2 linked regions of the Tamandua tetradactyla genome follow. The protein of the gene in region 1 interacts with the protein of each later gene in a pairwise test. Links are inferred from orthologs where the notes say so. Each region holds a gene or a part of one and is shown on either strand. Other genes may lie near its edges. The genes, in order: FOSL1 and USF1.

Region 1 (11,837 bases):
TAAAATAAATTTAGTTTGAAATGCTAGTGATCAATGAAAGGGAGGGGTAAGGGGTATGGTATGTATAATCTTTTTTTTTTCTGTTTTCGTTTTATTTCTTTTTCTGTTGTCTTTTTATTTCTTTTTCTGAATTGATGCAAATGTTCTAAGAAATGATGAATATGCAGCTATGTGATGATACTGTGAATTATTGATTATATATGTAGAACGGAATGATTATATGTTAATGTTTTTGTTTGCTTGATGTTAAATTTTTTTTTAATTAATAAATAAATAAATTTTAAAAAGAGAAAAGAAACATGGCTACTGGAACACAACTCTACCTTTTCAGGCAGTTCCCTCCAGCTTCTCCAATACCTCTTAATCTAAATAGGTGATCTCTATATAATGCGTAAGAATAACCTCCAGGATAATTTCTCAACCCTGTTTGGAATCTCTCAGCCACTGACACTTTATTTTGTCTCATTTCACTCTTCCCCCTTTTGGTGGAGTAGGTTTTCTCAGTCCCTTGATGCTGAGTCTCAGCTCATACTAGGATTTCTGTCCCACGTTGCCGGGAAGGTCCACACCCCTGGGAGTCATGTCCCGCGTAGACAGGGGGGGAACAGCCCCAACACTTTCTACCTGGCACCTGGGCATCTGACCACCTCCCTGGGCTGTGAGCCCCTTGGGGCGAGGACCAAGTCCTGAATCATCCTTGCCTCCCCGCTATCTGGCTCAACCCACCGTTTCATTCAGCTAATTCAGGAGACAGGATAACGACACTGGGGCACAGCCATGCACTGGGATGCTGCAGCGCAATGAAACAGAATGAACTGCTGCACCCACAGCAGGGTGAATCTGACAAACACCATGCTGAGCGAGAAACCAGACACAGAAAAGTGCGTACTGTATGATTCCCACTGGCGTGGAATATTCTAGAAGAGGCAAAACTAATCTATCATATGGAGATGAGCTCAGTGATTCCCTGGGGTGGGGGTGGGGTGGGGGATAGACTGACTGCCAAAGGGGAGGAAAGAAGCTTCTGGGGGATGGAAATGTCCTGGGTCTTGATCGGATCAGTGGCTGCTCGGAGCACAATGAGCAAAACGCAAGGCCAGTATGTTTAGAAAGTGCAGATTTGGGGAATGCAAGGATGGTTCGGTGGTAGAATTCTCGCCTGCCATGCAGGAGACCTGGGTTCGAGTCCCAGCCCGTGCACTTACCCCCCCCCCCCAAAAAAAAGTCAATAAATGGTGTTGCAATAATGGAAGAGTCACATGGAAAAAGAATGAAATATGACTTCTACCATTTAAAAAAAAAGTACAGATTTTAGCTAATGTAAAATACACCCCCAATGTAAGATATTTAAAAGGGAAAGAGATCTATAGGTTATGCTCAGCAGAAAGATTTCCAAGATGTAAGAAAACAAAAAAAAACAAGGGGGAAAGTGTGTAGAACAGACTACCTTTTGGGCAAAAAGATATAAAAGAAACTGGGTACATCGTTTCCTTGAGCGGGGAAGCAGAAATGGGAGGGAATTAGCAGGGACATTCTCCTTGTAAACACTTCTGGAACGTGTGGACTTTGAAGTATGGGAACGTATGTATTACCTAGTGGAAGAAGCAATGCCATTAAAAATTTAAAGACATTAAAAATACAAATCATGTTTTGAAATTTGGATTCCTTTTCCTCCACGCGTCCTTTTTATGACCACTCAGTGGGAAAATATATACCCCCCCCCAAAAATGCAAACATTTAAAAAATTATTCTAGTCCCCATACAAAAAAAAAAAAAGATGTAATAGTGAGCATCATGCTAGGGGGCTGTACTGCAGGAAGGGTTTTGACTAGAACAGGGGCTCATGGAGGAAGCAGTGGGTAACTGCAGTGGAGAGAGTTGGCCTGGTGGAGGGGGGTGGGGAGGGCTCCCTGGGGCAGAGGGAGCAGACTGTGCAAAAGTGGAGGGGTCCTCAGTGGTAAAATGCCTGCCTTCCATGCGGGAGACCCAGCTTCGATTCCTGAACCATGCACCACCACAATCCCCCCAAAAAGGAAGGGGTCCACTGAATGAGCCTATGCTGGCGAGGCAGGAGCCCAGGTCCGCCATGTCTGGGAGGGCTTGAAATGCCAATGTTAGGGATACTGGTCCCTTTTGAGGGACACACTAACAAGGCTATGAGAAGCCCCGGCTCTGGAGACCCGGTACGTAGGTTCAAATCCTGGCTCCACCACTATCTCACTGTGTGGCTTTTAGCAGGTGACTTAACTTCTCTGTGCCTCCATTTCCTAATCTGTAAAATGGGTATAACCTTACTATCTACCTCACAGGGTTACCCCGAGGATTGAATAAATTACTTTGAACCATGCCTGGTTCATTGGAGCTCAACAGTGTCATCCCCGAGGCCCTCCAGCCCCTCCAATCAACACATCACCTAAGAGGGTGCATTACCCATCCGCCACCCCGCCCCTCCCCAGGCCTCAGCACCTCCCTGTAGCCTTGCTGAAGGTGCTACAGCTCAGAAGGGTCCAATACAGCGAGTGATGTGGACAGACTTTAAAAGATTCCTCTGGAAACATTTTCATGATTAAAAATGCATATATGCGGGGGTGCACAGGTGGTTCAGTAGTAGAATGTTCGCCTTTCATACGGGAGACCTGGGTTCGATTTCCAGACCATGCACCCTTCCCCCCCAAAAATACATATATCCTTCTGAAGTGATGCAAATGCTCTAAAAATGATAATGGTGATGACTACACAACTATGTGATGATATGGACCGTATGTGTGTGAATATTTGTCAATAAACAAAAAATACATATATCCTCCAGGTTGCAAAGTGGGAGACCTAAAGGAGGGTGCTGAGCTGCAGAATGGGAAAAAGTCCAGGAGAAAGAGAGAGGATGGGGCCAGCCCGTTGACCGGAATTAGAGTGGTACTTCCAGACATGAAGCAACCGGAATTCTTTACCCACGACTGGTGGGACGTAAAACAGTAAAGCCACTTTTTGGAGAACTGTTTGGCGGAATCGACTAAAGTGCCAAGCACACGCCTACCTCCACGACCCAGCAATTCCAGTCCTGCCTGGGCAAATGTCCGAGAGAAATGAATGCAAATGGCCACCAAAGAACACATTGAGAGTGTTCTCAGCAGCCTCATTCATCCTAGCCCCAAACTGGAAGCACCCCCAGTGTTGCCCGCTTTTGATACTTTGCGCACACTAGAATGCAATACAGCAACAGAAAAGAGCTACTGGTTCACTCAGCTCTGTGGACAAACCCCCCCCAGATGGGATGCATGAAAAGACACATACTCCCCTCCAAAGAATACACAAGATATGGCTCCATTTATATGAAGTTCAAGAGCTGGCAGATCTTATCTGTGATGGTAAAAGTCAGAAGAGTGGCTACCTGGGAAGGGACACAGGGAAGTGCCCTACATCATAATGCGAGTGGTAGTTGCACAGGTTTATCTATATGTCAAAAGACATTGAGCTAATGGGCATAGCCCAAGTGCCCCTAAAGGGTGGGAGAAAGATCAAAGGTGATGGTGGAGTTACACAGAGAAGGTAAGGTTTAACAAATGAGTATGAGTGCTGAATCATTATACTGATATTTCTTTTGGTCTCCAGTATCTTAGAGCAGCTAGAAGTAAAAACCTAAAACTGGAATTGTAACCCATACCAAACTCTGAAATTGGTTCTACAACTACTTGTTGCGCTGTATTTTGATATTTTTCACACACAAAAAAGGTCAATTGTGATGCTTAAAAAAAAAAAAAGCATTGAGCTGAACCCCTTAGGAGCGCACTTTCCAGCATGCATGTTAAGCTGCAACTTAAAAAGAACAAACAAACAAAAATGTAATGGAACTGAAAAAATAAGCATCCCCTCCAATGCTCTGGTGGCACTGATTGGGCACACTCATGTATCACACCATTTTACCTCACTGCAACCCCCAAAGCTGGGATTCTCTGGGGCCCAGAGAGGGGAAATGACTGGGCCAGGGTCCCATGGCTGCCAAGGGGCTAGTGCATGGTCTCTCAGGCCTCCTGGCGCCCCACGAGGCTCTCAGCAATCCTCATTGTGACCCCCTGGAGTTCTCTCCTGGCCTCCTGAAGTTGGAGCCGGTGAGGTCAGGGACCAAGAAGACTTCTGCAGCCACAAGGTGGGAGTTAGTGACTGAGGAGTTTGGAATGTGCTGCCTCTGAAAGGGCCTCCTTGTGACTGAGCCGACGGTTAGAGCAGGAAGGGACTTTCAGAGCCGTGTAATCACACACATGCATAACTTGGAAGAGATGGGGAAACAAACTCAGAGGGGCTAAGAGGCTTGCCCCATGTCAGGAGTGGGGCAAGCCCTTGCTCAGGTAGTTGCTTCTGAGGCAGGCAGGTGGATGTGGTCAAGACTGTCCTTGCAGGTGATGCCACCTGGCTTCCTGTGTCATCCCTCCCAATTTGAGCTGAGCCAAGGAGGCCAGATATCAACGTGTGTGAGTGCTTCCTGTTTCCAGAGTCCCAAGGTGCTCCCATCTCTGAGGCTTTTGAGTAGTATGTGGATTTATTTCCACTACTATTTGTTAAGTTCTTACTATGGGGCCAGGTGCTGTGCTTGGCATGGGACAGTACTTCTATGCCTCTACAACTCTGAGGTGTAGTTATCATTGTCTCCATTTTACAGATGAGGAAATGGAGGCTGAGAGATTGCATGCCTCAGCTACAGTCACACAGCTGATGAGCGGCCTGGCCAGAATTCAAACCCAGGACCCAGAATCATCTGATGCATGCACTTCTTCAATTACTATGGTTTCTTTTTGTTTTTCATTGAAGACAAGCCTTGATTAGGACAAGGGCGGGGGTAAGTAGGCTGCTAAGGACCTCCTGAGTAGATGGCACTTTACAGCTTCATTCCATTTATTCCTCATAGCAGCCCCATGAGCTCAGTGGAGAGTCCCAATTCTACCCACCGGGACTGGAGCTGAGAGGAAATGTGACCTGCCCAGGGTCACACACAGACAGAAAACAGTAGCTCTGGCCCTGAAGGGGCCAACCTGGGCTTCTGGCTAAGCCCTGACTGAGTCCACAGACCCCTCTGGCTTCTGTTCCCAAGGAAGGCAATCCTGGACCCTTCTTTTCTGTGGGCTAAACTGGAGCTGATCAAATGGCGGTACCAGTGGAAAAGCAGGAGAACCCAATCTTCTTTCTGTAGTTAAGCCCACTTGCAGCTCCTTGCCCTCTCTGGGCCTTGGTTTCTTATCTATAAAATGGGAGGGGGCAGGGAAGAAGCTTCCAGACAGGTCCCCCCCCCACCCCGTGCTGACATTTGGTGTGAGTGAAAAGATGTCTGTGAAGCTGTGAGGCTTTGAACAGTCTTGGCTGAGCCTGGCCTAGAGCTCCCACAGCCCCGGTTTGAGAACCCAGTTCTCATTTAGTGGGCAATTCATTTCAATATCTCCCAGCCTCAGTTTCCCCATCTGTGAAATGGGGATGATAATGGCACCCACCTCCCAGGGTTATTGGTCTTTGGTTGTTGACATTTGGCTCTTGGCTTCCCATTCACACATTCAAACAAGGCTGGTGACCACAAGGAACACAGATGGCATTTAAAGAAGACGCCGTTCATCAAACACCTACACCCATGTCCCACTGGAGGCTCCCACTGCCTGTAGGGACTCTGTACTAAAGCTTGTTATAGCTCCTGGAATTACCCTGTGAGTAGCACAATTATTATTGTATTGTATTTATGGGTCTTCAAAGTAGTATTTTATTCATTGCAATCCGTACCACCAATTTTGTAATCTGGTTTGTCCTTTATTCACTTTCTAGTATACCTGAAACTTTAAAACCATGCCAGTGGAGGGGCCTCACGCCACGCCTGGGAAGCTGTGGGTGGCACTGAGCAAGGTTCCTGGCTTGAAATAAGCACCCAGTAAATCATCACCATCACCCATCACATTTACAATTCACTTTACAGCTTCCAAACCGCTTTCACATTCATCTTTCCAAACTCCCACGCGTGGCAAGGTAGCTGTGAGATTATATCGTCCTATCTTACAGATGCAAAAACTGAGACCCGGCCAAACTAGGAGGATAGGGGCCGGGAACGCCGCGGCTGGCTTTCTGTCTGCACCCGCGGCGGGGCGGGGCCGGACGGGGCAGGGCGGGGCGGGGCGCGCGGCTCCTGGGCAGGTGCGTAATTCCGTGAGGGGAACCCTCGGCTCCACCTGGGCGCGGCGAGGAAATTGCACCATGTATGGGCAGCTACGTCAGAGGGGGGGAGGATACTTGCAGCACTCCCGGCCGGGAGACGCCGAAGCCACCCCCTCTCCCCAAGAAAAGGCAGCTACCGGACAGTAGGAGGTGTCGAAAAGCTCGGGGCGGACTGGCAAAAGGCTAGAGGCGGAGCCCCGAGGTGACCCGCGCCGCCGCGCACCCCCCGCCCCCCGGTCCAAGTGGTTCAGCCCAAGAACTTTTCATTCATAAAAAAGACTCCACTGGGGAGCGAGTGAGTCAGAACCGCAGCCGCCGACGCGGACCCCGCACAGCAGCCAGCCCAGGGCATGTTCCGAGACTTCGGGGAACCGGGACCGAGCTCCGGCGCGGGCGGCGCGTACGGCGGCCCCTCGCAGCCCCCCGCCGCGGCGCAGGCGGCCGCCCAGCAGGTAAGAGGGGTCCGACGCCCACTGGTGCTCGGGTGGACAGCGCCTGGGACGCCGGGGTGAGCTCGAGAGTGGCTCTGGGGACTGGGGTAGGGAGCCGGGTGGCAGGACCCTGCCCGTTCTCCGCCGTCGAGCGGCCACTTTTCCTCCACCGCCCAGGGGGGACGCGTGCCCCCCCAGCCACTTCCCGGGTCCCCTCCTCCTGCCCAGGGACCCAGGACGCCTGGGTTAGTTGTAGCCCCAGTAGGATCAGAGCGTGTCTCCATCTCGGGCTAAATTCCGGAATCTGGAGTCTGGGCTTGGGCACCGAGGGAGGCGGGGTCCTTGGGCTGACCGGTCCCGACAGAGTGGGACTCCTTGGCACTGTCTGTGTGTCGCTCCGTTTGTCTGTCCTTCCCTCCCCACCCCTCGCCAAGCCCCTGTCCCCTTCTCAGCGGTGGCCCGGGCAGCGGAGCCTGGTGGGCTTCCAGGGACGGGTTCTCAACCCCACGATCGGGCCACTGGAGCCCTGGAGGTGCCGGGACGTGCGCGGGGCCACGTTGCGGGCAACTCCCGCGTCCCCGACTCCTGGCACCGAACAGCGCCCGCTGCCGGCGGGGGGCAGCCAGGAGGCTGCAGGTGTCCATTTCCTGTCGAGGGGCTGCCAACACGTGTCGCCAGGGGAGGGAAAGAGCGGGCGTCCGTTGCGCCGAGTCACGGCCGCCGAGTCACGGAGGCTGACTCACCCGGGGCGCCCCTCCCTTCCTGGCCCGGAGCTGCCGGGCCCGGACAACCTCGGGAGCCGGAGATGCCGTCGGCGGTCTCTCAGGCCCGGAACTGGGGTCACCCGGCCGCTGGGACGGCAGCCTGCACCGGGGCCACCACTGTCCGGACTTGCCTGGGCCTGTAGGGCGCTTCCCGGACGACTAGGTGCCCACACCCAGGGCCCAGCCCCAGGGCTCAAACCCAATTCTCTCAGAACAATGGACCCAGCCCATTCCTCAGATGCAGGCTCCATGCTGGGTGCTTTCCACTTCAGTTACCGCATTTCATTGAATCTAAGATGCCCTTGATCTTAAAACCCACCATTATTTTATGCACGTTAAAGGGGGGTGGGGGTGTGAAACAAGCTAATATTTCAGCAATTAAAAGGTAATTCGTAACACCACTGAAGTGCTCTAATCCTCATTTTTACAGTGTCACGAATGAGGAAACTGAGGCACACTGATTTGCCCCAGTAAGCAACTGAGCTAGGATTAGAACTGGGACAGGTGGAATCCAGAGCAGTGGCCCTTGCCTACCACAAGCCTGTGCACGGGGCACCTCCCACTTTCCAGGCTGTCACCTAAATTCTCTCACCCGATTTTCACAGCCACCTGGGAGCTGGGAAGTGTGATCATCCTCTTTGGGCAGATGGCACTCAGGCAGGGTGCAGGAGTGGGGAAGGGCATAGACTCTGGAGCTGGGCCCCTTGGGGTTTAATTCCACTTTCCACTTCCTAGCTGTTTGTCTGTGGACATCTGCTCCCCTGTCTAAAAATGAAGATAATACTAGAGCTGCCACCTTAGGGCTGTTGTGCAAATTATGAGTTGGTATCTGTATGGTGGTTAGAATACTACCCGGCAGGTCACACTCTATAAGTATCAACTCTGATGGGAAAACAGAGGCACAGAGAGGTTAGGGTACCTGCCCAAAGTCACACAGCTCGTGAGCAGGGCTTTGCCACAGGTCAATCTCTTTCTGGTTTCCCAGTACCAGCAGTTACATTGGGGGTGGATGGCAGTGTGGCCCTATCCACTAGATGTCCCTTAATCCTTGGTCCTCCATTTCTTATCCCCCCAGAAGTTCCACCTTGTGCCAAGCCTCAACACTGTGAGTGGCAGTCAAGAGCTGCAGTGGATGGTGCAGCCTCACTTCGTGGGGCCCAGCAACTACCCCAGGCCCCTGGCCTACCCCCAGTACAGTCCCCCACAACCTCGACCAGGTGTCATCCGGGCCTTGGGGCCACCTCCAGGCATCCGGCGCCGGCCCTGTGAACAGGTAAGGGACAGTGGCGTTGCATTGGTCCTGATACCTACAGGCGTGCTATGGCAGGGAGGAAGAGCGCCTGTCTGAAAGGGTAGGGGTGGGGTGGGAGGAAGGCAGGACCACTGGCAACTATTGCTCAAAGCAGAAAGTGATCAGATGCCAAGGTCACTGCTGGAGCAGGGGAAAGTTTCCTGGAACAGGGGCATAACAGCTGAAAAATATGGGTAGGATTTGCACATGTAGAGATGAAGGAAAGGAAGTTCCAGGTAGACAGAATGGCAGGAGCAAGGAATGGAGGTGGAGGTGAGGATGTGCATGGGGAAAGGTGAATGGGCAGCGGAGGGCCTCTACCTGCCGACATGCATGGAAGGGTGAGCTTATGCCACCCACGGCTCTGTAAAGCTGGGGAGAGAACAGGAACAAGAGGCTCCCCTTCAGCTACTCTCTGAGTCTGTTTCCCTCTCATTTGATCCTCACAAAAACGCTCTGGGGATTGTATGCTGGTTCTCCTCCTTTTTACAGCTGAGGAAACCAAGGCACAGAAAGGTAGAGTCACTCAGGCAAGATCCCATAAGTGGTGAGCAATGAGACAGGTCTAACTCTAAAGTAGGCTGCTAACCACCAAAGCTGCACTGACAGGTGTCACCAGCAGGCTGGAAGCCAGGGACTCTGCCTCCCCTACCAGGTGCCCTCACCAAAATGAATAAATAAGCAATGTGGGTCTTAAAAGAGGTGCCTCCTCCTTCCTCTCCCTGGCGAGCTTTAGTACTTGACAACTGGGTGAGGCTTTGTTGTTTAAATGTTTTTCTAGGACAGTAGGGTAGCGAATGGGGAGGGAAGTTGGGTCCTGGGGAAGATGTGAGATGGACCAGCATGGGGTTTCCAGAATCAGAATGGCTGGCCTTTGTGACCAACTGGAGGATGGGAGAGCGGTGTGGGCCCCAGAGGCAGCCACCTCCTGGACTTTCAGCCCCCTGGGTTCTCCCCAGTGAGAGCTGTGAGGTGGGGGTTCTTTTGAGGGAGGTGGTCTCCAGCAGCTGGCCTCCTTGAAGAGCTAGTGGGTCCTAAATCCTGCTCCAGAACCTTGAACACATTTTTCATTCCCCCCTGGGCTTTAGTTCCTCACATGGCAAGTGGGGCTATGTATCCATAAAGCACTTGGCTGGCACATAGTAGGTTCCCAATAAACTGCAGTTTATTCAGTGGCCCTCACTAGCCCCTCCTAGTGCTCACAGCCCGTGGGAAAGAGGAGACTGGGTCATCAAGAGTTCAGAGATGGAGACAGATGAGGGTCCTGCGAAAAGAGGCGGCTTGGTCCCCAGGGCTCAGAGGGGGAGAGGCCACATCTGGCTGGGGAATAAGAGACTTCCTGGAGGCGGGGGCATCTTCGCCAAGTTCTGGGAGATGAGGAGGGTTAACATTCCGGGAAATGATAAGAGGCAAAGGCTGGGTGCTAGAAAGAAATTGGACCAATCCAGGCTGACGGGAGCTTGGGTGCTGGGAGTCAGTGGGCCGGGGTGCGGGGCTCTCTCAACCCGACTGACGCCCCCCCCCCCGCCCCCGCTGCCATGCCCTCCGCCAGGGTCCTACGGCGGGGCCGCCGTGGGGGAGTGCCGGGCACCCTGCGGCCCAGGACCCGCCTCACCGCCGACCCCCGGTCCCCCAGATCAGTCCTGAGGAGGAGGAGCGCCGCCGAGTGAGGCGCGAGCGGAACAAGCTAGCCGCCGCCAAGTGCCGGAACCGGAGGAAGGAACTGACCGACTTCCTGCAGGCGGTGAGCACCGACCCGGGCCCACCGAGGCTCGGCGGGTCCGGGGGCGCCCTAGGGTGCGCGGGGGGCCAGTGGTCTCCACTCTCTCTCCCCCACCTCCCGGCTGCCTGCCCGAGGGGGGGGAAGCCCTTCCAGGAAAAGGACGAGGAAACAGCGAGTTAAAACGAGTGGCAGCGCGCCTCACTCTGTAATCCAGGCAAATCGCCGGTCCTCCCCGACTCAATCCTTCTCGCGGAAGGAGGAAGGGGCACGGAAGACAGACGCCCCCAGGCCTTCTGGGAGCCCGGCCCATTTTCTCCCGGGGGCTCACGGGAGTTGTAGTCCAACCCCCTCCCCGCCCCACCCTGCCTCTCCCCCGAGGCCGCGGGATCCTCAGCCCTCAGCTTCCTGATGACTCCCGCGCCTCCCTCTCCAGGAGACCGACAAACTGGAGGGCGAGAAGTCCGGGCTGCAGCGAGAAATTGAGGAGCTGCAGAAGCAGAAGGAGCGCCTGGAGCTGGTGCTCGAAGCCCACCGCCCCATCTGCAAAATCCCGGAGGGGGCCGAGGAAAGTGGCGCAGGTGGTCCCAGCGGCAGCAGCAGCCCGCCCGGCCCCTCCCGTCCTGTGCCTTGTATCTCCCTTTCCCCCGGTCCGGTGCTTGAGCCCGAGGCGTTGCACACCCCCACACTCATGACTACACCCTCCCTGACCCCATTCACCCCCAGCCTGGTCTTCACCTACCCCAGCACTCCCGAACCCTGCTCCTCGGCTCATCGGAGGAGTAGCAGCAGCAGCGGGGACCCGTCCTCTGACCCTCTCGGCTCCCCCACCCTCTTGGCCTTGTGAGGTGCGCTAGCCTCCCTGCCTGCGGGAGCCACCATAGCCCGACATTCTGCCGCCCCCATTGGTCCAGCTGGCCTGGACGGTACCCCACATCCTACGCCAGCAGGTTTTGTGTTTTTCCATTTCTCCAGATGAGACTGAGAATATTTTGCTTTGCAGAAGAGCCAGCTCGGGCCCACCAAAACTGCCAGCTGCTTCTCTAGAGCTGACCCCTCTGGCACAGTTTGCACTAAATCAGAGATAAAATATTTCCCATTTCTGCCATAGACCTCTGGGCAGCCCCAAAGGACTTCATAAAGCCCTAGAGGACCTCTGGAGCCCCAGATGCAGTCCCACAGTCTCTGTCACCCTCTTCTTGTGATCCACCCAACCCAACCCTCTGACAAAAGGTGCCATTCTATCAGCCCAGAACACTAATTCACCCAGTCCCACTGCCAGCAGCACCAGATGATTGGACCAGGCCATTCTGCCGGCCCCTCCTGATTGACACAGCCCAGGAAGGTGTCAGAGGCTCCTGTGATGAGCTGCCCTGCAGTCCCCAGCTCTGAGGAGCCTTCCACTCCAGGGAATCCAGGCCCCCACAGTGAGGGCAGCTGCTATTTAT
Region 2 (11,216 bases), on another chromosome or scaffold:
GTGGATATGGAGGGCTTGATCCTAGGGGCTCTGAGTACCTTCCTAGCAGGTGGCTGATGAGGGGCGGGGAGTGCAATGAATAGTTGAATGCCTGAGGTCCTTCTGCATCTGTGCCTGGTTGGCAAATTCCTTTTCTTTTCCCAGCTGGTGAGGTGGAGGGTACGTGGCGATTGCTTCCAGGGACCCGGGCATCTGGCGGGCTTGAGGACCATATGCCCAGGTCTTTGCCCTACCACCTGCCTAGCATCCTGCAAGCCGGTGATGGACCCCCACAGATCCGGCCCTACCACACTATCATTGAGATTGCAGAGCACAAGTAAGGCCTCCTTCCTGGGCTCTCCTCCCTTGCACTGACCACCTGCCCCCAACCCTCAGTTATTTCTTCTTCTATGCAGAAGGAAGGGATCTTTGAAGGTCAGGAAATGGAGATCCATCTTTAATCTGGGGCGCTCTGGCCATGAGACGAAGCGTAAACTTCCACGGGGTGGTGAGGACAGGGGTAAGTCTAGGGAGGTGTGGGGAAAGCTCTAATGAGCATGTGTAAATCCCTGACTCTATGTACATCCCTTTCTTGCAGAGGACAAGTCCGATAAGGGGACACTGCGGCCAGCCAAGAGCATGGACTCACTGAGTGCTGCAGCTGGGGCCAGTGATGGTGAGTATAGGTGTGTACTCGTGTGTGTGTGTGTATGTCGTGTGTTGTATAATCAGTGACATGGGTCTGGGTGCATCTGGGTGCATGCCTATGAATGTGTCTGCGAGAGAACAGTGTTATGGTGAGACCAGAATGTGTGCATCCCTATGTATGTGTGTCTGTACATGAGGCCAATAATGTTTAATAATTTTAAAAATATTTAATGAGTGCCTGTTCTACACCAGTCACTGTACTGGATGCTGGGTTTATAGTGGTGACTTATAGTCTAATCTATGTGTATTCATATGACTGTCAATGGAAGTAAGTGAAAGTATGATGTGGATGAAGGAGCAGCATGTGTGTGTGTATGTGTATGTTAATAAAGGTCAGTGACTTTATCTTCATGGAGGGGAAAGACGTTCCCTGGGTAAGCAGGTGGAATAAACTGATTTTCTAGCTGCTGAAGGTTTGCACTAGTGGCTGAGAGAGCTGGGTCTGGTGACTTCCAGGCTTGCCTGCTTCTCAAGGAGCACTCTTCAGAGCCTTCCTGAGAAGTTTAGGCCTCTTGCAGCTAAGACTATTGCCTACCTGGACCTCTCTCTCCTCCACAGAGCCAGAGGGGCTGGTAGGACCCAGCAGCTCGCAGCCAAACTCACTGCTAACTGAGAGCTTGGAAAACGATTCTGTGGAGGCAGCAGAGGGCGAGCAGGAGCTCGAGGCAGAAGCTCTGGGTGGCACAAACTCTGAGCCAGGCACACCGCGAGCTGGGCGGTCAACAGCCCGGGTCGGGGGCAGCAGCCGCGCAGAACGCTGTGTCGGAGTCCACATCTCAGACCCCTACAATGTCAACCTTCCCCTACACATCACCTCTATCCTCAGTGTGCCACCGAACATCATCTCCAACGTCTCCTTGGCCAGACTCACCCGCGGCCTTGAGTGCCCCGCCCTACAGCCCCGGCCAAGCCTGGCCTCTGGCTCAGGCCCAGGCCCAGGCCCTGGTCCTCCAGGTGAGGACTGAGAAAGGGGACTAGAACTGGGTAAAGGGGTTACAGCGCTAGGCTGAAGTTCAGGTCTGATGCAGGGATCCACCTTGGAAGGGCAGAGGCTTTAGTCCTTGGGCTTTGGGGTGCTTGTCTTCAATTGCCTCCCGGGGGGGGGGGAATCCAGTTACATCAGACTGTATGAAATCCACTGACAGAGTACCTCTGGCAACCTTTAGGTCAGTGCTGTATACAGGAATGGGCGTCTATGCCAGATATATGCAGCAGGGATTACTAAGTACTGGTGTGGGAATATATAATAGGTGATAGTACTACTAATAATATGAATAATAACAGCTAACATCTACCAAGGGCAAATTATGTGCCAAGTGCCATATTAAACTCCTGGTAGGTGTTAGCTTGTTTAATTTTCTCATAACCTTATGACCTAGGTATTGTTCTTACCCTTATTTTACAGTGGAGGAACCTGAGACTTAGGTCTAGCAGTTTGCTATCACTCTAAGTAGGAAGTAGTAGAACTGGGATCTAATTTTTGCTCTGACTCCTGTTCCTGAAGTGTTATTAATGAGAAGTACTGAGGCAGCATAGCCTAGTGACTGAGGTCATAAGCTGTGGTGTTAAATAGACTTGGGTTCAAATTTTGGCTTTGCTACTTATTGGATGTGGGACCTTGGACAAAATAGTTTATTCTCTCTGAGCCTCAGTTTCCTCTGCTTATAATGTGGGAACAATACCTTATATAATAGGGTTGTTTTGAGGGGAAAACAAGATATGCATTGTAAAATGTATAGCATGGTGCTTAGCACCTGGCAGGTGCTGAATAAAAGGAGGCTACAAGCCAAGAGTTAGGGATATTGATCTAAGAGGATCAGCTATGCGGAATGTCTGTGCTGGGAGCACTGGGCCTATACTCTATCAGTGCTAGAAAGACTCATGTGGAAAGGGTCAAGGCTGGCCTGGCCCTTTGGATTTCTGGGACTACCTCTCTCTCAACAGATGAGAAGTCAGAGGCAAGTTCAGCCCCTGGTTCCCTGGCTGACTCTGGCCAAGCAGAAGTGGCCCCTGCCCTGGAAGACTCCCTGTCCCAGGAGGTGCAGGATTCCTTCTCCTTCCTAGAGGACTCAAGCAGCTCAGATCCTGAGTGGGTGGGGGTGGAGGATGGGGAGGTGACCAAGGCAGGAGCGGCAGGAGCAGCTTTCTCTCCTGTGGAGGACGATCCTGGGATGGGCTACCTGGAGGAGCTCCTGGGAATTGGGCCTCAGGTAAGATGGAGGTGTGCTGGGTTTTGGGGTGGTATGGGATCTGGAGGGTGGATAGGGTCGCCCAGTCCTGAGCTACAACACCATGTCTACAGGTGGAGGAGTTCTCTGTGGAACCACCCCTTGATGATCTGTCTCTGGATGAGGGACAGTTTGTTCTGGCTCCCAGCTGCTGTTCCCTGGACCTGGCTAGCCCCAGGCCTGATGCAGAGGAGGAAGGTGGGGAGGAAGTCTTCCTGAGTGCCTACGATGACCTAGATCCCCTTATGGGACCCAAATCCTCAAACTGGGAGGGTCCAGGGAATCTGGAAGAAGAGGCAGCAGGGTGCAGAAGATGGTCTCCAGGACAGGTTGAGGGAGAGCAGGTGTGTACGGAAGTTGGGGAGGACAAGGAGTCTGAGCCTGGAAGCAGATGGGATGTTAGGGAGGAGGCTGAGGGATGTCCACAGACTGAGGAAGGGGCTGGAGTGGCTGGTGAGGAAGGAGCAGAGGCTAAGGGAGACCAAGACATGATGGTCAGTTTGAGAGATGGGAGTGGGGAAGAGACAGAGGCCAAGGGAGAGAAGTCCAAAAGTCAGATGGATGCTGAGAATGAGGCTAAAGGTGTGGAAGAATCAGGAGAGGAGCATGGTAAAGACAAGGAGAAGGAAAGAGAGAATGAGAGAGAGGAAGAGACTGATGGAGGAGGGGAAGTCCAGGCAGAAGTTGAACAGGACCCAGAACATGGGACCCAGGAACACCAAGTTGCTGAGGAGAGCTGGGAAGTTATACATGAACAAGAGGCTGAGGGAGGCAGGGAGGATGAGGTCAAAGGACAGAGAGGGAAGGGGGGTCAAGAGGCAATAGAAGATCAAGGAAATGGTGAAGACAGAAGCCCAGAAGACGCAGCTGGAGGAGGAGCAGGGGTAGTGAGCAAGGAACGGGAGAGTGGAGATGGGGAAGCTGAGGGAGACCAGAGAGCTGAAGGTGACCATATAGAAAAGGGTTCTTTCCCTGAAGGGTCAGTCATAGAGTGCTTGGAGGTCGACAGTAACAAAGAGGGCAACGCTCAGGCCTCTGAGGGGGAACAGGCAACTCCACAACCACCCCGGCCAGAAGAGATGGAACCTGAGGGGCATCCCAGTTCAGACAGCTGCAATCTGTGCCTCTGTACCCTTGACTCAGTCAGTGGTGTGGGCATGCGTCTGGCTTCCACCCTCGTTCAGGTCCAACAGGTCCGCTCTGTGCCTGTGGTGCCCCCCAAACCACAGTTTGCCAAGAAACCCAGTGCACTGTGTAGCAAGATCCATGTGGCACCTGCAAACCCATGTCCAAGGCCTGGCCGGCTTGATGGGACTCCTGGGGAAAGAGTTTGGGGGTCTCGAGCCTCCCGCTCCTCCTGGAGGAATGGGGGTAGTCTTTCCTTTGATGCTGCTGTGGCCCTGGCCCGGGACCGCCAAAGAACTGAGGCTCAGGGAGTTCAGCGGACCCAGACCTATACTGGGGGCGGGGACTATAGCTTCATTCCCAGAACCTTTCCCTGTAGCATGACCCCAGCCCATTCTCCTCGGCCCCTTAGCTGCCTGGAGCTCCAACCTGAAGGTACAGAAGGATCTGGACCCCGGAGTCGACTTAGTCTGCCCCCCACAGAACTCCAGCCCCCTGACTCCCTTATGCCCCCCCAGCGCCGATCGTATGCATTCGAAACACATGCTGACCCTGGAAAAGTGAGGGACTGTGATTAGGACCAAAGCACTGGGTAAAGGGGACCAGTCAGTTGTTTTGAATCTCCAGGCCCCCTGAACAGCTGTCTCTTCTGCAGCCTGAGCAGCTGTAGTACCCAACTCTATAGGCTTTGGCTCTCCAGCTTCTCTTTTTGACTCTGGGAGGCTGCAGCCTTGATTGATTTACCTGAGCTTGTCTCAGATAGAAAGCACTTATCTCTTAGGAGATTCCTAAGAAATCTTGTTTCTAGAGAGAGCAGTCATTGACAAAGAGAACAGAGGGTGGGCTGAGAGCTTAAGATAGAGATTTCTCAAAGTAAAGAGTAGAAGGGGAATTTCAACCATGTTCCTGCCCTCCTCTGAGGCTGTGATGTCCTTTATGGAAGCCCAGGGTGGAAGGGAGAAGAAAAGGCCAGGTCAGAGCCTACCTCACACAAACACTTCTAGAGATGCCCAGCCCTGGACTGTTATTGGATCCTTGGATACATTCTGACCTTCTGAGCTTCAGATTGCCAGGAATGTGTCAGGAAGCTCTTTGGATGCCTCAAAATTTGTTGGGGGGACTGACCCCTTCCTGGTCCCCCCACCACCCTCTGCCTTCAGTCACCTTTGGGAAGAAGGGTCCTGTAGCTATCTCTCTGGCCTCTCCTTTTCCCTTTGGAATAGCCTCCTCCTATCTCAGGATAGAAGTCACTCAGGTTCTAGGACTGCTTTTCCAAACAGGCTGAGGCTACAGGTCTCACTCTAGTAAGATGCAAAGTTTCGGAATAAAAGTTGTATTTTTACACATAAATAGTGTGGTATTTCATTATGCTTATTAAAGTCTTGGGTTGTAGGTATCATCTTTTCATGTTTGGGCAAACATCTCTTTTTATTGTTTGGGTGTTCTTCCTTAGTTGTTGTCATGGGGATCTGTGGCTAGAAACTAGAGCTGGGTTCACAGTGGTCAGGAAAGGGGGAAGAGAAACTGACATTTACATAATTTTCAATATGTGCTAGAAACTGGGATAGGTCTTCTATGTGCATAGAGTCTACGTCCTTCATTTTATTTAACTCATGTAACAATTCTGTAAGGTTAGTACTGATACCTACATTTAAGGGAGCAAGGGGCCAAGGCTCACTTAAGTTAAAAGGCCAGCCAAGGATCTCAGAGGTAAGACGTGGCAGGCGGGGGGTGGGTTTGAGGCCCAGGGTTGTGGAGCCCCACAGCCTGTTCTTTTCATTGTACCACATTACTACAAATCCATTAAGGGTAGATCCTGACTGGGGAGAATAGGAATTAACATCCCTCCCACAGACACCGAAGATTGGGGTCTGTGGGTGAGGTGCGGTTGATGCTAATGGCAAGGAGTACATCCGACAGCTTTCCTAAATTCCACTAGAAAACACTTAAAAGAGATGTCCCGGTCCAAGATGGCCTCCCACATAGCCCTTATTAAAGATGGCGCCTCCAGCTGACGTCCCTTCCGAGTTAACCTGGGCTCCCTCAACCCCTTTTCTCCTGGGATTAAAAAAGCCCTGCCCAGCACAAAAATGGCAGTTCAAGTTAGTCATTTTTCTCCGCTTCCTGCTCTCCTGCTGAAAGCCACTAGGAACTCCACTGTCATTATACTGGGACAGCAGCAGTTGGTTCTCCTCCGCTCCAGCAATACCCCACCACCTCGGCATTCCTCAACCTGCATCAAGATGGGGCTAACGGAAGTGGGGCGGCTCCATGGCTATAAGCAGGCAGGGCGGGTCGAGAGAGACACTTCCGCCCCTCACCAATATGGCCGCGGGTTGGGAACGCGCATGAGCAGCTGTCTATGGAGCTACCCGGGTCTGGGGTGGGGAGAACACCGTCCGGGAAAAGCAGCGGCTGAGGCGGCTTTGGCCGGTGAGTGCAGGACCGGATGCGAGTCTGGAGAGTGATGAACCGGCAGAGCTGAGCAGCTTTAATTTGTTTTAGTTTTTTTAGGTTAGGGAACTCCTGTGGAGGGAGCCTTTGTTTTGGGGGAGGGGGCCGCGCCTGATTCTTTATCTCCTACCCCCTTAGTGGGCCGAACTCGTTCCCCGCCCCGCGCGCGCTCGCCCCCGCCCTCCTGCGGTCCTCGGCCGTCGATCGCGGCAGGGGGCGCCGGGCCACCGAGGGTCCCCGAACCGCTGGCGCCCTTTGCTCCCTCTACCGCGGGCTGAGCGCGGCGGGGCTGGCGGGGTCAAGGCGCGGGCTCCCGGCTTAGTGCCCTGCTCCGTCGGCGCCTGCCGGTTGGTGGGCCTGCAGGGAGACGTCGCATTCCCAGGCAAAGTCTAGGCGTCTGTCTTCTTTCGGGACTTCATTTTTTTTCCCCTTTTGTGTCCAGATTTAGCAAGGGCTCTGGCTGGTCCCTCCTCGCCTGAGTGTGCAGGCTACAACATCCTATCCCAATTTCCGTGTCGCACATCCCTAAGGCTCAATAAATACTTTTCTGATGTCCAACTGAGATTCAACTAAGTAGCCTGACCCCGTTGCTCGGTGTCCTCAGGTGCTACACCTGGCTGACAGCTGTGGATAATAGGGATGCCTCCCTATTCCTTGCTCTCTCTTTCTTTACCTCCTTCTGCAGTCAGCGCTGCAAGCCTCGGGAGGGGCATTTCTTCCTTGCTTTTAGGATGGAGAGGCAGGTGGTCCTGAAACACTACTGCTACTTCCCCTTAGGGACTGGAATCTCCTTGCAGTGTTACTTCCTCTGGCAGTTTCACTTTCAGTTCCTTTTTTTAAAAAATACTTTCTTTGGAACGGGCTTTCCAAGGCTTATCCAAGAATGAAGATTTTCCTTGGCTAGGGAAGGGTTTAGGGTTTGGGGTTTGGGGGAGCATAGGGAGAGAGAGTTTATAAAAATCTTACCTGTTTTGTGTTGGGATTATTTTATTGCTTTGTAAAACGATGCTAATTCTCTCTGGAGGTATCTGTCTGCTCAACCCTTTGTTCTTCCTGTCCTCTGACTGTCAAGGTCCAAAGGCAGGCATCTTATGTTATAGACTGAATCATGTCCCCCACAAAGAGATGTTCAAATCCTAATCCCTGGTTCTGTGGATGTGAACTCATTTGTAAGTAGGATATTCGAAGATGTTATTAGTTATGGTGAGGCCAAATTGAATCAGGGTGGGCCTTATCCATTATGACTGGAACCCTCATAAGCAGAGGAAGTTTGGCCACAGTCAGTAGTAGGAGACAGAAGGAGATAGATGGCCACGTGACAGAGGCAGAGACTGAGTTAAGGATTACCAGCAAACTATCACCAGGATGCTCCAGACTTCAGAGAAAGCCTGATCCTGCCAACACCTTGAGTTTAGACTTTTAGGCTCCAAATCTGTGAGACAATAAATTCCTGTTGTTTAAGCCAACCAGTGTGTGGTATTTGTTATGGTAGCCTTGGCAAGCTAAAACAACTTGTGAATGGATTCTTCCCCCACTGTCTCTTCTCCTTCAGAACCCTGAGCCTGGAATTTTCTCATTCTTATTGAGGCTCAGTTGATTTGGAGTTGTCATGGCAACATGTTAGCAAATGTGTTTGGCAGGAAGCCTTGGTGAATAAAACCACAGGGGCTTAAAGAGGCTGCACTTGGGCTTTAGGGTCTCTAACAGGTGACATAAATCTGGACATCCCCAAACGAGAGCCCTGTCAACAAAATAGGGCCTGAGGGCCAAGTCTGGTCTTTGTGGTTAGCGATGTGTTTGCAGTGGCAGTGGGCTTTGGTTTTCCCCTCCATAGAATCAAGAATAGAGATTTCTTGGTATTCAGAATGTGGCTGAGAAGCTGGAAGAAGCATCAGTGTCATGGCCCTGTGGTCTTTGCTGGTGTTGGTCTAACATGGGTCTTCATAATCCCCATGAAGCTGCTGTCATATCAGATCATATGACTATAATAATCCAATCAGATATGTTATTTCTCAGTCTTCCAGTCCAATTATCCCCTCTCCAGATAGAGTTGGAGTGATAATAGAGGGCAAAGCACATCGTTTTTAGAGTGGCTTTTTCACCCACTTTAGCCCAATTCTAGGTATCAAAATGGCAGAGACTGATTGGATTATATTCTTGGCTGTGTTTTCATGGGGCCCAGGTTCTAGAACTAGGGGTGCTTTTCAGTTTCCTAGACTCATTGCAAACTCCCTGATTTCTCCCAGGACTTAGCACACAGGGCTGTGAGGCAGGAGATACGAAGACCTCAAGAGAAGGACCAGGTCCTCGGATGTGCCCCCTCACAGAGAGATGAAGGGGTGAGTCAAGAAGAAGTAGACTGGTACAGGAGGGAGGTGGCTTGGGAGAATGGTAATATGGCTAAGAGAATTTGCTCTGGAGTCACACCTGGATTCAGGTTCCAGCTCCATCACTTCTAGTTGTGTGATTTGGTTTCTCCGTGTATAAAATGGAGGTAGTGCTGCCTACCTCATAGGGGTGTTCCTAGTATTAAATGAGATAGTGCATGTTAAGTGCTTAGCTCAGTGCCTGGGTCCATATTAAACACTCAGTAAGTATTAGCTGTTGTTATTCCAATCTAATCTAGCATCTGTTGGGAATGCCACTGAGTTTGGGAGCCATATGTTACTGGATCAGTGAGCTTCCCATTCATTTCTTTCCTCATCCCTCCTTTTGTCCCTTATTCACAAATAGGCAGCAGAAAACAGCTGAAACAGAAGAGGGGACAGTGCAGATTCAGGAAGGTGAGTGGTAACAACAGATTTGAGAGCATATCATGGCCTCCCCCGTGGCCCATCTCTTGTGCACTCTCCTCCTTCTAAATGACATGCATGTGGAACAGAGGGATAAGGGCAGTAGCTCATAAACCTTTCTTTTGCTCTTTTAATTCAGGTGCAGTGGCAACTGGGGAGGACCCAACCAGTGTGGCTATTGCCAGCATCCAGTCAGCTGCCACCTTCCCTGACCCCAACGTCAAGTACGTCTTCCGAACTGAGAATGGGGGCCAGGTAAGGGAGGGGGCCAGGTGGCTGCAGGTGTGAACTGGGGTTGGGATTGAGGGAGGTAATTGAACATGTCTTAGGGGAAACTTGGCTTGGAGGATGAGGCAAAGATGTGAACTGTTTGGGGGTGGATAAGGCATAGAGTAAAGATTGTTGTGGCTTGGGGTTATGTTGGGACGTCTATACGGCAGAAAGGGGGGAAAGGCTGAATCTGTGTCTCAGAAGAACTCTTGTTTTGGGGCCTTATCCAATGGAAGTTCAATGAGGGGCCCTGGATTCCCCAGCACTTACTTTTTTCTTCTCTCTCCCCCTCGTCCCTCTTTTCTCCACACTTTAGGTGATGTACAGGGTGATCCAGGTGTCTGAGGGGCAGCTGGATGGCCAGACTGAGGGCACTGGTGCCATCAGTGGCTATCCTGCCACTCAATCCATGACCCAGGTACAGGAGTCTGGGCTGGGACAGGGACTAGAGTTCTGAACAGTAAGATGAAGATGGGAACCAATAGAATGGGAGGTGAAGCTAGAGAGGGTGTGGCATCTGGGACTCCCTTATCCTTAGACATTAGGCTCTTCCTTTCTGGATATCCTTCTACTCTCCAATAAGGGATGGAAGCTGCAGAGTGGTATGGTGGGAAGCTGTGTCTGACTATCACTCAACTCTGTCCTTTTGCTTTCCTTCCCAGGCAGTGATCCAGGGCGCATTCACCAGTGATGATGCAGTTGACACAGAGGGGACAGCAGCTGAGACACACTATACTTACTTCCCCAGTACTGCAGTGGGAGATGGGGCAGGGGGCACCACATCAGGGAGTACAGCTGCTGTTGTTACTACCCAGGGCTCAGAGGCATTACTGGGGCAGGCAACTCCTCCTGGCACTGGTGAGATATCATATGCAAACACTGGCTATAGGGGTTAGGTCAGGTTGTGGGACATTCCTGGTGGCAGTGGGCCTTTACTCATGTCCGCGTAGGTGTTCACTAAGGCCTGGGCAGGCAGTGGGTCTTCCTTTCAGCAGAAGAAAGCATGTTTGTTTAGAGGAGGTTCCCTGGACCTTGGTTTCAGAGCTTGGTGGGGTTCCTAGTTCCATGACCTTACAGAACCTAACCTGCATGTTCATAGGTCAATTCTTTGTGATGATGTCACCACAAGAAGTGTTGCAGGGAGGCAGCCAGCGCTCCATTGCCCCTAGGACTCACCCTTATTCCCCGTGAGTAACCCCTTTTCCCCAATTACCATGAGTAGTCTTGATTCCTGACAAGTCTCATATAATCCTTTACTTCAAACTCCCATCTTATATTTTCTCCTTGCCTTACTCTGGCCTCCCTGGCTTCTGTTGTCAGGAAATCAGAAGCTCCCCGCACGACTCGGGATGAGAAGCGCAGGGCTCAGCACAATGAAGGTATGTTGACCTAATAGGCAGCTGTACCCTGAATCTGACTGGTGGGATTAGGGACAGTGGTTTGAGGGTGGAAGGGAGTTGGGTAGTTTTACACCCTGGGGCCTGTGGCAGGTTCTCACCCTGCTATCTCCTCCTCTTTCCCCATAGTGGAGCGCCGCCGCCGAGACAAGATCAACAACTGGATTGTGCAGCTCTCCAAAATCATTCCAGACTGCTCCATGGAGAGCACCAAGTCTGGCCAGGTCATGGAAACCCTAGTAGTGGGCAGGATGCCTGAATTG

What was found.
Region 2: the proteins of FOSL1 (region 1) and USF1 interact in binary tests that used the Homo sapiens proteins (3 or more experiments, as listed by UniProt). The link is inferred for Tamandua tetradactyla from reciprocal best matches to the Homo sapiens genes FOSL1 and USF1.

Annotation. Positions count from the first base shown.
Region 1 is NC_135335.1:8,624,089-8,635,925, forward strand, and holds the start of FOSL1 (fos-related antigen 1), read left to right. Parts: upstream 1-6,302; 5' UTR 6,303-6,533; coding exon 6,534-6,635; intron 6,636-8,453; coding exon 8,454-8,651; intron 8,652-10,221; coding exon 10,222-10,413; intron 10,414-10,825; coding exon 10,826-11,236; 3' UTR 11,237-11,837.
Region 2 is NC_135330.1:14,189,324-14,200,539, reverse strand, and holds the start of USF1 (upstream stimulatory factor 1), read left to right. Parts: upstream 1-6,338; 5' UTR 6,339-6,473; intron 6,474-7,446; exon of another isoform or gene 7,447-8,201; intron 8,202-8,740; 5' UTR 8,741-8,825; coding exon 8,826-8,833; intron 8,834-9,227; coding exon 9,228-9,277; intron 9,278-9,425; coding exon 9,426-9,541; intron 9,542-9,872; coding exon 9,873-9,974; intron 9,975-10,218; coding exon 10,219-10,414; intron 10,415-10,655; coding exon 10,656-10,743; intron 10,744-10,876; coding exon 10,877-10,935; intron 10,936-11,082; coding exon 11,083-11,177; intron 11,178-11,216. Other genes in the region: ARHGAP30 (rho GTPase-activating protein 30), read left to right, coding at 145-316, 396-499, 578-655, 1,246-1,641, 2,632-2,897, 2,990-4,618.